Coturnix japonica: one gene and its partners. The protein of the gene in region 1 purifies or fractionates together with the protein of each later gene. This does not show direct contact. Links are inferred from orthologs where the notes say so. Each region holds a gene or a part of one and is shown on either strand. Other genes may lie near its edges.

Evidence for each region.
Region 2: the proteins of PRPF4B (region 1) and PRPF6 purify together in Homo sapiens (affinity purification with mass spectrometry; 3 studies listed by BioGRID and IntAct, with this or other methods). This does not show direct contact. The link is inferred for Coturnix japonica from reciprocal best matches to the Homo sapiens genes PRP4K and PRPF6.
Region 3: the proteins of PRPF4B (region 1) and EFTUD2 purify together in Homo sapiens (affinity purification with mass spectrometry; 3 studies listed by BioGRID and IntAct, with this or other methods). This does not show direct contact. The link is inferred for Coturnix japonica from reciprocal best matches to the Homo sapiens genes PRP4K and EFTUD2.

What each region holds. Positions count from the first base shown.
Region 1 is NC_029517.1:63,507,764-63,512,973, reverse strand, and holds part of PRPF4B (serine/threonine-protein kinase PRP4 homolog), read right to left. Parts: intron 4,809-5,210; coding exon 3,615-4,808; intron 643-3,614; coding exon 469-642; intron 190-468; coding exon 34-189; intron 1-33. UniProt on the Homo sapiens protein: Serine/threonine kinase involved in spliceosomal assembly as well as mitosis and signaling regulation. Connects chromatin mediated regulation of transcription and pre-mRNA splicing.
Region 2 is NC_029535.1:8,470,404-8,475,613, forward strand, and holds part of PRPF6 (pre-mRNA-processing factor 6), read right to left. Parts: intron 4,611-5,210; coding exon 4,434-4,610; intron 3,573-4,433; coding exon 3,439-3,572; intron 2,991-3,438; coding exon 2,899-2,990; intron 983-2,898; coding exon 868-982; intron 1-867. UniProt on the Homo sapiens protein: Involved in pre-mRNA splicing as component of the U4/U6-U5 tri-snRNP complex, one of the building blocks of the spliceosome.
Region 3 is NC_029542.1:761,924-766,788, reverse strand, and holds the end of EFTUD2 (116 kDa U5 small nuclear ribonucleoprotein component), read left to right. Parts: intron 1-267; coding exon 268-394; intron 395-986; coding exon 987-1,074; intron 1,075-1,267; coding exon 1,268-1,386; intron 1,387-1,848; coding exon 1,849-1,943; intron 1,944-2,188; coding exon 2,189-2,342; intron 2,343-2,896; coding exon 2,897-3,004; intron 3,005-3,093; coding exon 3,094-3,189; 3' UTR 3,190-3,649; downstream 3,650-4,865. UniProt on the Homo sapiens protein: Required for pre-mRNA splicing as component of the spliceosome, including pre-catalytic, catalytic and post-catalytic spliceosomal complexes. Component of the U5 snRNP and the U4/U6-U5 tri-snRNP complex, a building block of the spliceosome.

The DNA of each region.
Region 1 (5,210 bases):
GTTTAAGACAGCGAGTTAGATCTCAAGACTTACTTTTCATCAGATGAAGACTCTTGTTCCACTTTCATGCCCTCAGAAAGACTACCTTTAAATTTGTCTTCTTTAACTTTGCTCCTACTCCTACGTCTGTGACCACCACGTGACCTGGACCTCCTTCGAAGGCGAGATCTACTTCTTCGGCCTCTATCCCTGGTAAGAGGAAGAGGGATTTGTTTGTTTGTTTGTTTGTTTTGCTTTTTATTTTCTTGTTTTTTTAAAAGAAAAGGAGGAAAATCTGTTTGTAGAACAAAGATACACAGCAACTCCAAGGAATACAACAAATGAATTAATGGAGGACAAAATTAATCCAACTATGCCAACTTATATATAAGTAGGGACTGAGAAATGCATTATATTTTTACACATAGGGTACCATGTGACTCTTTGTATCCTATAAAATGAACAACAAAACCCACGTGTTGTCTTTACCTCCTTCGCGGGGACCTACTCCTCCTTCGTGGAGATCGGCTACGTCGAAGGGGTGACCGCGACCTCCTCCTAATGGGTGACCGAGACCTTCTCCGGGATGGAGACCATCTGCTGGGTGGGCTGATATCTTTTGATCTTTCCCGTCTAGACAAAATATCATCTCTGGTTCGCGTTCTTAAAATGAAGAAAGAACCACAGTAAAATAAGGAGCGAGCTGAGAACAAAACCTCTAATTCCTCCTAAAATCGTGTTCATCACAAGCAATATTCAATGAATAAAACCTAAAACCAAATTCTTGATTTTTTCTCAGCAACACGGAGGTTAAATTTAGGGCAAAACTATTCCATGATGACAACTTCCATGTGTTTTCCAATCTGGCCAATAGAAGTGAATGCTTCAGCATCCCACATACTGTAGTACTGCAGCTAAAAACAACCATTCTCAATTAACACTTCTCAAATTAAAACAACAACCAACACTTGATTCCATTGTCACTCTTGTCTATACAGATGCATAATTTTTTAAGGGAAAAAAAATCCTTAATGAACCGACATTAAAATGCCGATCAGAACAGGTGCGAAAAGAACCCCAATCTGTTCAGGGATTGCATGCATGTGATAGGAAGTGGAAGGTGATTAAGAAGTCCTAAGTAACGTTGCACAGTACCATACTGAAGTCAGAGAACTAAGGAGTATCTTACACAAGTGGGACACTGCAAGCAAAGATGAAAAATCAAATTCCTGGGAATCACAGAATCACAGAATGACCCGGGTTGGAAGGGACCTCAAGGATCATGTATTTCCAACCCCCCTGCCTGGCAGGGCCACCAAACATACACATTTACTAGATCAGGTTGCCCAGGGCCCCGTCCAACCTGGTCTTGAACACCTCCAAGGACGGGGCATCCACAACCTCCCTGGGCAGCCTGTTCCAGGGCCTAACCACTCTCCTAGTGAAGAACTTCCCCCTAACATCCAACCTAAATCTTCCCTCTTTCAACTTAAAACCATTTCCCCGTGTCCTTCAACCTGTGGTTGAAAACGCTCACTGGAGCTCCTGAAGTTACCTGGCAGCCCGGATAGTTATAGGCAGTTAAAACTCCAATGTGGGAACACTGGTTCAAGAAGGCCTTCTTGGATTCCAGTAGAAAATATTTCTCAGCAGTCCTCCACTCAACAGTGTAGCAAATAAAACTGAAGTTTTATTTATTTATTTATTATTAACTGAAGTTACTCTTCTATCAACTTCGTAGCAAAATTCTAGACATGTGCCTCACTTGCAGTAGTGTTTAGACAACTAATTCAAACTGGCTGCAATGTAACAGCCTGCACTGAAATGCAATTTCACTAGAAATGAAAAGTGAAACTAAGACAGGCAAGAAATACGTCAAAGACACACAGTGGAGTGCTCATTCACCAGGAACTAGTTGAATAAATTGGTGCCATTTGCAATACTTGCTTCATCTGGTTAACACCACAAGGGCCATTTTCCAAAGTACCTGCAGTGCTGCTTGTCAACAGTATATGGGTAGCTCGGTCCGGCCCTGGGCACTCACCCATTGCTGCAACAACCACATAGTGGTGTGTGATTGGAACTGCCTGGGCTGGAGCCAGGGGAAAGCGCACCGTAGTGCTGATTCCACCTCTCCTGCTCATCAAACACACTCAATGGAAGTGAAACCCTCAGGTATTACACGTTACATGTGCTCAAGCATCTTGGCAAATAGCACTATGCTTAATTAGTAAGGAAATTGCATCAGTTTTCAGACTTTTCAATTTAATAAGACATTATATGCAAAAATGTACGGCCAAATTCAGTGCATATCAAGGAATGCTTTACAGATAAACTGGTGGAATTGAAAAAAGTCTGTCATCTCAACAAATCTTCCTTTAAAAAGCCCTCTACTACCCGAGAGAAATATCATAGAATCATAGAATCACCAAGGTTGGAAAAGACCTAAAAAGATCATCCAGTCCAACCATTCACCTATTACCAATAGCTCCCCGTAAATCATGTCCCTCAGCACAACACCCAGTCTCTCCTTGAACACCCCCAGGGTCGGTGACTCCACCACCTCCCTGTGCAGTCCATTCCAGTGCCTGACCACCCTCTCTGAGAAGTAATACTTTCTAATATCCAGCCTGATATCCCTCACTTCACAATCATGCCTTATTCACGGCATCAACTTTGGCAAGCATGTACATTTGTGAGCAACTGTTTTCAAGGAAGAAGTACAGGAGGAGTAAAATTTCAATAAAAATCTCTGGTGAACTCCTCGAGAGCTCACTAAGAATTGCAGCCACTGCCCCCAAACCATTCTGATACATTAATAATACCATATATTTTATATCCAAGACAATACCTTATCACGTAATGCAGCCCAGGGAAGCCTAAAGTTTGGACACTTCAGGTTTAATGGGTTAACATCCAGAAGTGTATACAACTGTACTGTTCCCTGAACAGGAGCTTGCAATCCAGGCATTACCAGATTCAAAGACGCTGCTGTCTGATGGCTCATATTAAATCTCAAAGTCACTGCTTTCAAAGCCTAAACTGCCTTTTAAAACAAATGACAAAAGTACGTTAAGAAGACTGAACCCTTCCTCCCTCATTTATGCATATACAAAATATGGCAATGATATACAAGTTTGGGCTCGCTATCAAAACAGACCAGTAACGCTACCATAACTCCAGCAAATCAAAGAGACAAAAAATAACTAAGAAGCATATCTTAAAGTCTAATTTACACCATTCACACTTTCATTTTTCAGTAGGTGTGCGGGGAGATGCCAACACTGACGTTTAAGAGGAGAGGGAATAAGGTTCTCCCTTCTCAGGAATTCCTGAAAACAACGTTACTACTAACTTTGGAACCAAAACAGAAGCTGAAATCCGAATTCAACGCAACAACAAAAAGCAGAACCTGAGCTACAGAAGTTGTTCCCAATACTGGTGAGAACAACCAACAGCAAAGCTGACTTTGTGTGTCTGACAGCTGGGGTTAGTATTTTTGAATGATGACTATGTGTAACAGAAACTCATCATACAATACATAGCTCTTCTCAGAATGAAAGAGAAACACCAGGCTAGAAGATGGTTCATCCCATAGCACATCCTTGCAATGGCTCATGACACTTTTAAGTTACCTGGGAGATGAAAGACGCCTCCTTTCCGATTCTCTTCTTTTCCTTTCTGCGGATCTACTCCTCAGCCTCCTAGCTGGAGATCGGGTCCGAGAAGGGGATTTACTCTGTTTAGATCTACGATCATTAAAGAGAGGGGATCTGCTTCTTCTTGACTTTTCACGTGGCTTAGGAGACAAGCTTCTTCCTTTTGGGCTTCGGCCAGGTCTTCTGGGGGACCTGTTTTCTTTCCCTGAAGAAGCATCTTTAGAAGGAGATTTAATTGGCTTTTTATCTTTGTCAGTCTCTGATCGCCTAGATTTTCTATCTTTGGACCGCGATCGTCTATCTTTGGATTTGCTTCTGAGTTCTGCTGGAGATTTGGATTTTCTGCCGCGATCTCGACTTTTGCTTTCATTTACAACTGGAGACTTCCTGCGATCCCTTGATTTACTCTTATCGTCAGCCTTATTTCTGTCTTCTGGGGGAGATTTAGATTTCCTATTTTTCTCCTGAGATCTTCTTTTAAGCATCGGAGATCTTGATTTCCTCGTCTGATCTTGAGACTTACTTCTTTTACAGGGGCTTTTGGATTTTCTCCTCTCTTTTGACTTGCTTCTAGTTGTTTTCTCTTTGATTCCATCAACTGCTACCTTGCTTTTCTTTTTGTCAGATCTGTGCCTAGTCCTTTCTTTTGATTCACTCTTATTTCCTTTTTTGGAACTAGCTTTATTTTCCACAGGTTCTAATTTCCCCTTAGTGTTTGACTTAGCCGCGGGTCTGGTTCCATTTCGCGCCTTTTCATTAATTTCCCCCTCTTCTTCAGATCCCGACTCATAACCTTGTAATATTAATCCCATACCGGACTGGACTTTGCCTTCCATTAACTCATTTTCAAGTTCAGCTTTCAATAAAGCCCTTTGTTTCTCCAAATCTTCCAGAGGAGCTAAAAAATCAATTTTAGTTCTTTTTGCTGGTCCATCTTCCTTGTCGGAGGTATCGGCTACCTCTTTCCGTTTATGTTTCTTATGTTTGTGTCTGTGTTTATGTTTTTTGTCCTTATCTTCCTCTGAAGAATGTTTATGTTTCTTGTGTTTACTTCGGTGTTTGTGTTTCTTTTTTTTGTGCCGGCTGTGCTTGTTCTGAGGTTGATCTGCTTCTGACACTTCCCCATTCTCTTCATTTGTACTCTTCTCAGATGCGTTAGCATCCTCAGCCCTGCAAAAGAGATAAAAACTACCCATCAGTATCAGCAATTCACAGCAGCCCTTAAATTCAGGTTAGTTTGATGGCCTCTTTTGTGATAGAAGCTAACTGGTATTTAATTATCTGCTTTTGGAGAATTAGAAATGCACAAGCAACGTAATGAAGTTGTAAGAGTGGGTGTAGTTTGGCACAGACAGACAGCTATGACTGCAAAAAAGAACTACTAGCTTATGAAGATGGAGCAAATACATCAACAAAACAAATCACGCAGGTGAAACCAATGCTTCAGGTTATGGTTCAGCACTGCCAGTATTTGGTAATAGCATACAACAGTATTGCGCACTTATACCTCCCGTTAGTCCGCTATCTGTCTTATTTACTGCTCAATTCCTATGCCAAACCCAAGCCATGTCC
Region 2 (5,210 bases), on another chromosome or scaffold:
TTTGGCCTATAAAAAAGAGTTGTGAAAGAATTGGGCAACTCTTTGGGCAACATGCTTTCTGCGTTAACCTCTGCTGGTATTCACAAAGGAAGAGAAGCCTGTTCCAGTCATAACTGCTGTGGAGCGGTCTGCAATCAGATCAGAAAGGATATGGTGTGAGTCAATTCTAATAATAGTTCCTCATCACTGGAAACCTCACAACTTGATCTAGAGAAGCAGACAATTCCTAGTAGACTCTCTTCCTGTTCTAGTGAAGCAAACTAGAGTGTGACTTGTAGTCTGCATTCCAGGAAGGGTCACCGCTGAAAGAAAACTGACATAGCAGAAATTTGTGCATGGAGAAAACAAACAGCACAAAGTAGCTTAAGATTAGAAGTATCTGACAATAGAGAGAAATAGATGAAGAGATGAATAGAGAGAAAAGATGAAGAGTACAGCATCAGACACTTAAAATGCAAACATCAACCAGCAGAAATGGTCCATGTTTTCAAAAATACTTAAAACGTATCCTGTAAAACCAAAGTAAGCCTATCTGAAAGCATGCTAAAATTCCATCTGAGGGGCACCAAGATGGTTTTCAAACCCAGCAGTAGAAAAGGACTCAATGTGAACATATTACTGTCCATGCTGCACTCCCAAACCCACCAGGAGAGCCTGAGGGCAGGCTGACATCCCTTGTTCTGAATCAAGGTAGAGCAGCAGATTTGCAGTTACTAGGAGACAGCTTGAGAGCTGCTACTTGCTCTGAGGCTCATTAGAGCTGCTGCAGCCAGCATCACGTGGTCGTGCTCAAGTGCAATGTCTCATCAGGGATGCAGCTACACACACCAAAATGAGTGTCTTTACTACATCAGGACGGGAACTTACTTGGCCACAGCCAACAGAACGTGTGGGTCGTGCTCACACTTCTTCAGGGCATCCACACTCTTGGTCTTCCGTTGTGGTCGCGCTTCAAGGAAAATTGCCTCTGACCACAGGATTCCTTAATCAAGTGAAGTAGAAAGATTTAGTGTGAATCAGAGATTAATCCTCCCCATCATCAGGCCAGCGCTCTATGAAGTGAGCAGCACTACTGTGCCCACCCCAGAAGTTATCCCTGCACCTCCACCTTGTCTCAAATCGCTCTTTCATCATGGATGCTTCATTCAATACTCTGAAATTTAGCAAAGGACCCTCAGTTCTGAATGTTTCTGTACCACAACAGCAGTGTGCACGAGCACAGAGCTTAAGCCTTTCCAATTAGACACCGCACACAGCAGAGGGGAACTCAGAAGCAGCAACAAGCTGGTCTGAATGGAAAGCTACAGTGGCAGGTGAAGTCCCACAAGGTGTAAAGTACACCACTTGGGAGCAGTTTCAAAGGTGCCAAAGAACACCACAGTATTATTGATGCTGGCTCTCCACACATATGACGAAGGACACGGTAGGGCCAGGAAAGCTGGGTTTAATCCCTAGTTCCTTTCACTGCCAAAAGCAAGAAAGGAAACATGCTCAGAGGAGCATGAAATCTTCAGTTTCTAACGCCAGTCAACCATACCTGTTGATCACTTCAAGGCAAAGCCTGAAAGCTTGGGTCTGCCAGGACTCTATCAAAGCACTCTCACTTCCCATAAACTGCACATGGGAATTAACACACTCAGATGACAGCAGTGACAGACTGCAGCAGAACTCTAGATTTGCTCTTTACATAGAGTCAAACCATTCTCACAGACCTCTATTTTCAGTCCTGCTGAGGACACAAACACTGATGTATTTCAGTTCATGATTTTATCCTTTGTGCCATCTATGTCAGCCACAAGCAATGGTAATCAGATCAGCAACTGATGGACGCGGGTCAGGTTTACACAATTGTAGGTGTCTAACAAACTCAATCCTGCAGGTTTTTCTTCCTGGTTTGTAAACTTTTAAGAGTTGGGAGTTATTTTATTTAAACAGAATCTGAGATCTTACTGCCTATTTCTATAGCAACAGGCAGAATCTGCAGAAGAGCCTGAGGTGGCAAACACAACAAGTGTTAGGTCCTTCATAAAATAAAGCTGGTATTACTTTGTTGGCCCACTCACAAAGCAAGCAGCTTGCAGTGAGTTGATCAAGCCATAAAAGTCACTTAACTCCCATTACTTCACTGGGGTGACTTAAGCAGTCATCAACTAAATACCTTTCAAAACCAGCCTGAAGGCAAACTAAAAAGACTTGCCCTGTGGTAGGTTACCACACTTTCTACTGAAGTGACATCTCTCCAAAGATGTCAACACGTTCAAAGAATTAAAGCCTTCCCACAATTCTGTCAAAAAGGAAAAAAAAGAAAGGAAACTTCCATTTTCTCCTCCCATCCCAAGAGGCAAATGTTTCCACTGCTGGTTAGAACCAACCAACTTCGTTAAGGAAAGGCAAATAGAGCTTATATGATGAGCTAAAATAATCAAAACCCATTAGTAGTGCAATCAGTGTGGGCAAACCAACAACAGGAAGTCTCCTATGGTCAATTATACCCCAATGAGACAGGGGAAAAAACATCCTTTTTCCACCAAACTCCCTAATTACAAAAGCTTGAGAGTCTTTCTTCAGTTTTAAACCTTGGCACAGACTTCTACCAGCCTCAGAGAAAAGCCACCCATGTCCATGATTATTTTGCATGAAACCTCTTGACAAACTGTGGACCACAAAATCGATGATGCCAACACCAACCCATGTTCCCTTCAGTGTGAAGCACTACAAAGTAACCAGGATCATTCACAAAGCCCCCCCCAACCCTCCCTTTGCAGGAGAATGGCTGTCACTTCTCTAAAATGCATTATTCTGAGACATGGCCAGAAAGGCCATCTTGGATAAAGATAATCCTTTACTAACTGAGCAAACACATAACCAGGTTTAAGATCAAAATGACACCCAGCTCACCTGAATTAGGGCATTCTTGCAAGGCCTTGGCCATCAGAGTATTTGCAATGTTCTTCAGCCCAGCTCTGTACTCCAGTCGCACAGACTCTAACCTGGTAATAAAGAAACCCAGTGATGATATTTATTGTAACACATTCACTCTGTAACACAAATCAACTCTGAGTCACATGAAAGTCACTGGAAATTACAAACATGCCCATATGAACACATGCACCTTACTGACTTCTTCCCATTCCTCCCCATTAAAAAACACATTTTGCAATGGCCTAGTCCATTTCTCATATCATTTTTAACCTATGATAGAAACAAAAGACCCCTTGATTTTCATGTTCTCTACACTGCAACTATCTGTAAAGAAACAACAGGTCCCCAGCTCCTCAGAGTAGCCACACAGCAGCCAGAATCTCCAGAGCCCTTCTTCAGAAGAAGTGCTAGGATAGGTGTGCTCATAAGTTCTGTGATCAAATAACTGAGGTGTGAGATACCTCATGCATGCATCGATCTTGCAGCTCAAACTAAGTTCACGTCTACACAACTCACCAGAGATCCGCATTCTTTGGATTCTTTAGGCGAGACTTTTCCAAGATAGCCCTTGCTCTGGTCAACTGTCCCACCTTCTCTTCCAGTCTGGACAGCAAAAGCCACAGAGGGATGGAATGGGGACACTTTTTCAGCTGTTTAATATGATAACAAAAGGTACGGTTACTATGCAGATCTGAAAACATTATAACCCCCATAGAAAAGGAATCCCTTCCTTGAATCTTTCTGAGGAGTTCAGAAGTGAGATAAGTGACCACATCTCTCAGATTTCTCCTAGTTAATCATATAGCACTAAAACAGTAGAAATCTAGTTTCTCCTATAACCAAAACACCAAGAACACCACTATGACTAAACTTCCTCAATGCCAAGCAAAAAGAAAGAATACACCTCCCTTAACAGTACATCTATGACCTGTGCTCCATCTAGAGATGGAGAGCTCTAATAAATAACAAAATCACACCTGCAGAGTACGCAGGAAACGCATTGCCCTTGAAGCTCACAAAGTCATTAGGATACAGACACCGGCAGAAACCTGCTTCCCTATTACTTGCAGGGCAGATGAGTTTCAGGAGCATTCCTACAGGACGCCAATTACCATTTAGAAGACACATGAGTACTCAGCAGACAATCTCCTTTTACAGTGTTTACCTAACCTTATTAGCAGGGTCTTCTGTTAAGAAGTTCTGCTGTTTAGTCGTTGCAGGTCTTAGAGAATTATTGTGTAATGACTTCATTCCTGCTAGTGAGTAGTCAAGCATACAGCAAACTCTCTCAAGCAAGAAAGCGAATTCTGCACACACACACCAGCTAAGAGATAAATTCTCACTGCTTATTTCAACACCCTAATAATTTTCTCTTACTGTTTTAACCAATGACAGGGAGAGAAATCACCTCCACTGTTAATATGGGACAGAGCCCTCTCCATCCTGATTTGAAGACAGACATCTGTCCATATCACAAGCACAAAGCAAGCTTACAATAACATGCATCTTACCCCTTGATTGTAAGCCTCCCTTGCTTTCTCTACCAGCTCCTTTTGTTCCTCGATTTGTCCTTTCATCATCCACAGTTTGGGAAAGTCCTCATAGTGTTTCAGGGCTTCCTCACAAAGCTCCTGTGCCGCAGCAATGTTTCCCAGCACCCATTCCAACTTCACAGACTTCATGAAGACCTGACAAAGAGACGGAGCCGTTTATCACTGGGGAAGAAACAAAAGCAACAAAAACAAGAACTCTGCCAATGCAGTGGGTTCCCATGTCTGTGCATACATTGGGAAGTTATTCATGAGCCTTAGTTTGGAGCAGAAGGCTCCATGACTGACAGGAGAAGAGGACAATCTAAAAGGTCCAAATCTCCACACAGCAAACCAGGTTTTTTCCTCTTACTTGGTCAAATCGAAACGATTCTGTATGCACAGCTAAATATTGACAACATTTATCACAGCAGAAGTAACCGTAGAGATAAACACAAGACTGTAACTTTAAATAAATCCGATGAGCACCGTCTTTAGCACAGCATAATTGAGTCTTCTGCAAAAAATATTTTCACTCTCTCTTCTCCAAGACACGCTTTTATGCAACATGAACATTATACAAACAGCTGTAAACTGGGAATTTCCTGACTTTTGCCATTTGTGTGAAAAAATGTGAAACCCTTCACTTGATCCCAGCCTCTGTTCCCATCATGCTGCAACCGAGTGTTGCAATTTGCTGGAGAAGTGCTACGGTGCCTGCAAAAGGCAATGGCAGGGAGCCATCTGGTCAATCACTTG
Region 3 (4,865 bases), on another chromosome or scaffold:
GTATGGACAGTCTGGGGGGAGCAAGGATCTTTCTGGAGGGAAATAACTGGGGAAGTAGGGAGCACTGGGATCCACAAGGATCAGTCAGCAGCTCCCAGGCAGGGATCCTGGGTGCACCAGTGAGTCCAGGAGCATCCTGGCCCAGCAAACAGTTTGCTTCGTGTAAAAAGCTGAGGCTGTTTTTATGTGGAGCAGGTTTATAAATACTTACTTTCTGAGTGCAGATCAGACTCTGCTTTCCTAAACTTCCTTCTGTTCTTCCATCAGAAAGAAGCTGGGTGAATTCTTCCAGACCAAATACGACTGGGATTTGCTGGCTGCCCGTTCCATCTGGGCCTTCGGGCCGGATGCCACTGGCCCAAACATCCTGGTAGATGATACTCTGCCCTCAGAGGTGAGGAACAGGCACAGGGGTTATATTGGAGTGAAATATATTGTGTGCCCCGGTGGTGCAGTGGTTAAAGACGCCGCCTTGCAACACTGGGGCCCGGGGTTCGAATCCCCCCTGTGGCGCAAGTGGTAGAAGTGCCGCTCTGCTACACAGAGGCTCGAATCCCGGGGGCTGGACTCGATGATCTCTAAGGTCCCTTCCAACCCGCACGAAACTATGAAACTATGAAACTATGAAATGTTTATTCTGTTCTGTCCAGAGGTGGCAGTTCCTTCCAGGACCTGCAGCAAGGTTCTAATGCTGTAGGAGTGCTTGTTGGTTTGTCATGTCTCAGATACATTGAGCTTCTTCCTCTATGCTCATATCAAAGCTGGTGAACTGTCAGTCCGCAGTTTGGGCCAGCACCCTCAGAACTGAACGGCCTGTCTTTAAGGATTACCAAAATAGGCACTCTTCACTTCTGACTATAGATGTCAAACTCTTAAAGATGATGATTCAGAGCTGTGAGGAGGGTGCAGAAGAACATGGCTGCTCATCTAATAAACAACTGTTAAACACTGGGGTCTATCTGATCCTGCCTTGTCTCTGTCCATAGGTGGACAAGGCGCTGCTGGGCTCCGTGAAGGACAGCATTGTGCAGGGATTTCAGTGGGGGACCAGGGAAGGGCCTCTCTGTGATGAATGTAAGTAGAACCTGTGTAGGAATGGGGCTGATGAATGAATTCTACCATCTTTAAGTGGATGGCTGAACTTTCTCTGATGGCTCTATCTCTTTTGCGACCCCTGTGCTCAGAGTCTTTGGGGATGCATGGCTGGTGCTGCTATGGCAAAGGGCAGCTGCTAAGATCACTTGCTGTTGTTTCTTCCTTTCCTCAGTGATCCGCAATGTGAAGTTTAAGATCCTGGACGCAGTGATTGCTCAGGAGCCTTTGCACCGAGGTGGAGGTCAGATCATCCCGACGGCACGGAGGGTTGTGTACTCAGCTTTCCTGATGGTGAGCACTGTGTGTGCATGGCAAAAACTGAGCCTCGTGCAGTGATGGCTGAGAGGCTCCAGTGAGCACAGGTTGTACGTGTGCTGCAGCATCTGCCACAAGGATGGTGGTTTAAACTGCCTTGTTTGCAGTGCCCTTTCAGGCTGGCACACAGGCTTAACAAGTGGTCACGTTCCAGCCTGGCTGGAAGCCTGCCTGCATCTGCTGCCTCCTGTTGTGCAAGTGTTAGACTTGCTGGGGAAGGTGGGAATGTGAAGAGGGAACACATCAACGTGGGCAGGAGGAGGAAAGCACAGAGCTCCTGTTTGTTGGGGTTCATTCAGGCACTGGAGGGGCAGCAGGAACCCTCTCATCCCCACTTGGGTGCTGTGTTTGAGCTGTTTGGCAGCTTCTGATCCTGTGTGTGCTGCAGCACATTGATGCTGCTGTAGGCTCATCTGCTGTTTGCCTTTGTGCCCCCAGGCCACCCCTCGTCTGATGGAGCCCTACTACTTTGTGGAGGTGCAGGCCCCAGCTGACTGCGTGTCCGCCGTGTACACTGTGCTGGCACGGCGCAGGTGAGCTGCCATCAGTGCAAAGCAGCAGCTGCTTGCCTGGGTGGTAGAGACCTCTACAGTCCCTTGGAAGGGGGGGCTGATGTGGAAATGAGGGGAGAGGGCAAAATCTGTCTGCTGTGCTGTGTGGGGAGGGGATGTCCAACACCACATGCAGTGCTTTGCTTTGTGCCTGGGGCTGTTGGAGTGTTGGAAAGGAGCAATAAAATGGGACATGTAGGAAAAGGAATGTTTTGACTTTCTGACAGAGGCCACGTGACACAGGACGCTCCGATCCCAGGCTCCCCTCTGTACACCATCAAAGCCTTCATCCCCGCCATCGATTCCTTCGGCTTCGAGACAGACCTGAGGACCCACACACAGGGACAGGCGTTCTCACTGTCTGTCTTCCACCACTGGCAGGTGAGTCCTACTGGGAAGGAGGGGATGGCAGATCAGGCTGTGCTCAGTGCTGCAGCTTACACAGGGCAGCCCAAACATCTCAGAGATCTCCAGTGCGGGCATTTGGAGCTGGTGGGGGCTTTGTGCACCAAGTGTCTGCTGCCAGAAGCCTGAGGCTTTGCTCCTTGTCACCCAGCATTTCCCCTTAGCAGAAGTGCTGAATGCTGCTTGCTGAGCTCAAGGGTCCCTCAGTGCCTGAGTGGAAGGTGTGCTCTGCTGGGTGCTGTTTGGTGCACTGAGCTCTGCACCTCGGGGGGCTCAAGGCTTAGACTTGCTGTTCTGCTGTGATTGCCACCCTTCAGCTTTGGCTCTCAGGGAAAAGCTTTGGAGCCACACTCTGAGTGACTTCCCACAGAATTGGTGGCAATGTGACTCTTTCTCCCTACCTGAGAACAGATGCCACACTGGGGCTTTGTCACACCTGGGGGTGTCCGTGGGGCCCGTGCATGTTTCCCTTTGAAGCTCAGGCTCTCCTGGAGCTCCCAGTGTTGTTCTCAGCCGTGGTCTTGTTGCAGATTGTGCCTGGTGACCCTTTGGACAAAAGCATCGTCATCCGCCCCCTGGAGCCTCAGCCGGCCCCACATCTGGCCAGGGAGTTCATGATTAAGACCCGACGCAGGAAGGTACGTCTGGGATCCACGGGAGCTCTGCCAGGAGGGCTGTGTGGGTTGTGGCATGCAGTGGAATGACACAGATTTGGGTTACTCCGCAGGGCCTGAGCGAGGACGTGAGCATCAGCAAGTTCTTCGATGACCCCATGTTGCTGGAGCTGGCCAAGCAAGACGTCGTTCTCAACTACCCCATGTGAACACATCCCTGCTGAGCCCAGGGAGCCCAGTGGGCCCAGCGCTTCCCACCTCTCAGGGCTCCTCAGGTTGCTCTTGTATGGCTGGAGAAACCCCTTGGGGTGTTTGTGCACCACATTCTCAGCCCCACACCGATGCTTTATGTGTTATCAGAGCCCTGTGTGCAGTGAGGAGGTTGTTTTCCCTTTAGCTCCTCTCTCTGCAGGCACACAGATGTGGTCTGGGCTGCAACGCATCAACTTGAGTTGAATGTTTGGACTCTTGGGGTGTGAGGTTGCTGGGTCAGCTCCTGCCTTTAGTAATGCTGCCCGTGGGTGCTCTGCCTTCCCTTAGGTGCAGTGCTGGGGATGGGGCTGTTCCTACCAACCTCCCCAGGAAAAGGGGCAAGTCTGGATTTTTACCTTTATTTTTGTACGTGTTTTTGGAATCCTGCTAAACATTGAATGCAAACTTACACCCGGAGCTCAGTCTGATCCCTTTGGCAGAAGGCAGAGGGGGCAGTGCCCCTATTTCCTCCATCCCAGCACTGCTTTATGTCTTTGTCACTATGTCCCAACCAAGACAAGTCATGTAGGACTGTTCCTTTCTCACTTGGCTTTGTCCTGCTGCTGCATTTCCAGGGGGTCCAGAGGGCTCAGCTCTATTACATCAGCTCTATGTCCCTGGAGAATGGAGGGGGGGGGGTGACATCCATCATCCTCCCAACACAGCTCTGCCTTCAGCCCTGTGCTCTGGGCCTGGATTCTGGCTCTGGGGACTGTGCAGAGTCGCCCTATGGGCAGCCCCCCATCATCGCCCCATATCTGCCCACCCCATATCCCTGCACACCCCAATTGGGTGCAGGACGGGGCCGGCAGCGTGGGAAGCAGTCAGTTCTCATACGGGCTGCTCCCAGTGGGAGCCCAGCTGGAAAACATTGACCTGCAGCAGCCGGCAATGCGCACGGAGTGGGAATTTTCCATGGATGCGGTCATTCAATGGGAATGGGGAATATGTGTGGGGTGGGGGGCTGTGGGGTTCCTCCCTGTCTGCCTGCCCGTGGGGTGGTGCAGTGGTAAACTGAGGCATGGCAGTATAGGGGTCTGGGAGCAGGGCTCTGTGCATGGCCTGAGTTCATTGGGGCTCAGCAGTGGGGCAGCAGGACCATGAGGTGCACAGTCATAGCAGTGGGGGCCCCTCTGCAGTGGGACCATCAGCTGGGATGGGGCCCCACGTTGCCCCATTGGTGCACCACTCACAGCCCTACTGGGGTCATGATATGCTGAACAATGGGGTGAGCCCCATTCCCAGTGCTCCTGACCCCAACCTGTCCCCATATCTCTATTTCCAGTGTCCCTTTGCCCATGTTCCTGTTCCCATGTCTCCATTCTGATCCCATTCCCAGTGTCCCTGTCCCTGCCGTGTCCCCATGTCCCTGTCCTTATACTCTTCCCAGTGTCCCTGTCCCCATATCTGTTCCCACTGTCCCTGTGTCCCCATCCCATTCCCATTGTCTGGATGTCCCTGTCCCCATCTCGTTCCCACTCTTCCTATCCCCAACCTGTCTTCACATCCCTGTCCCCATGTCCCATACCATTCCCAGTGTCCCCATGTCCCATCCCCATTCCCAGTGTCCCTATATCCCCATCCCATTCCCAATGTCCCTGTCCCCATATCCCCATCCTGTCCCATATGTCCG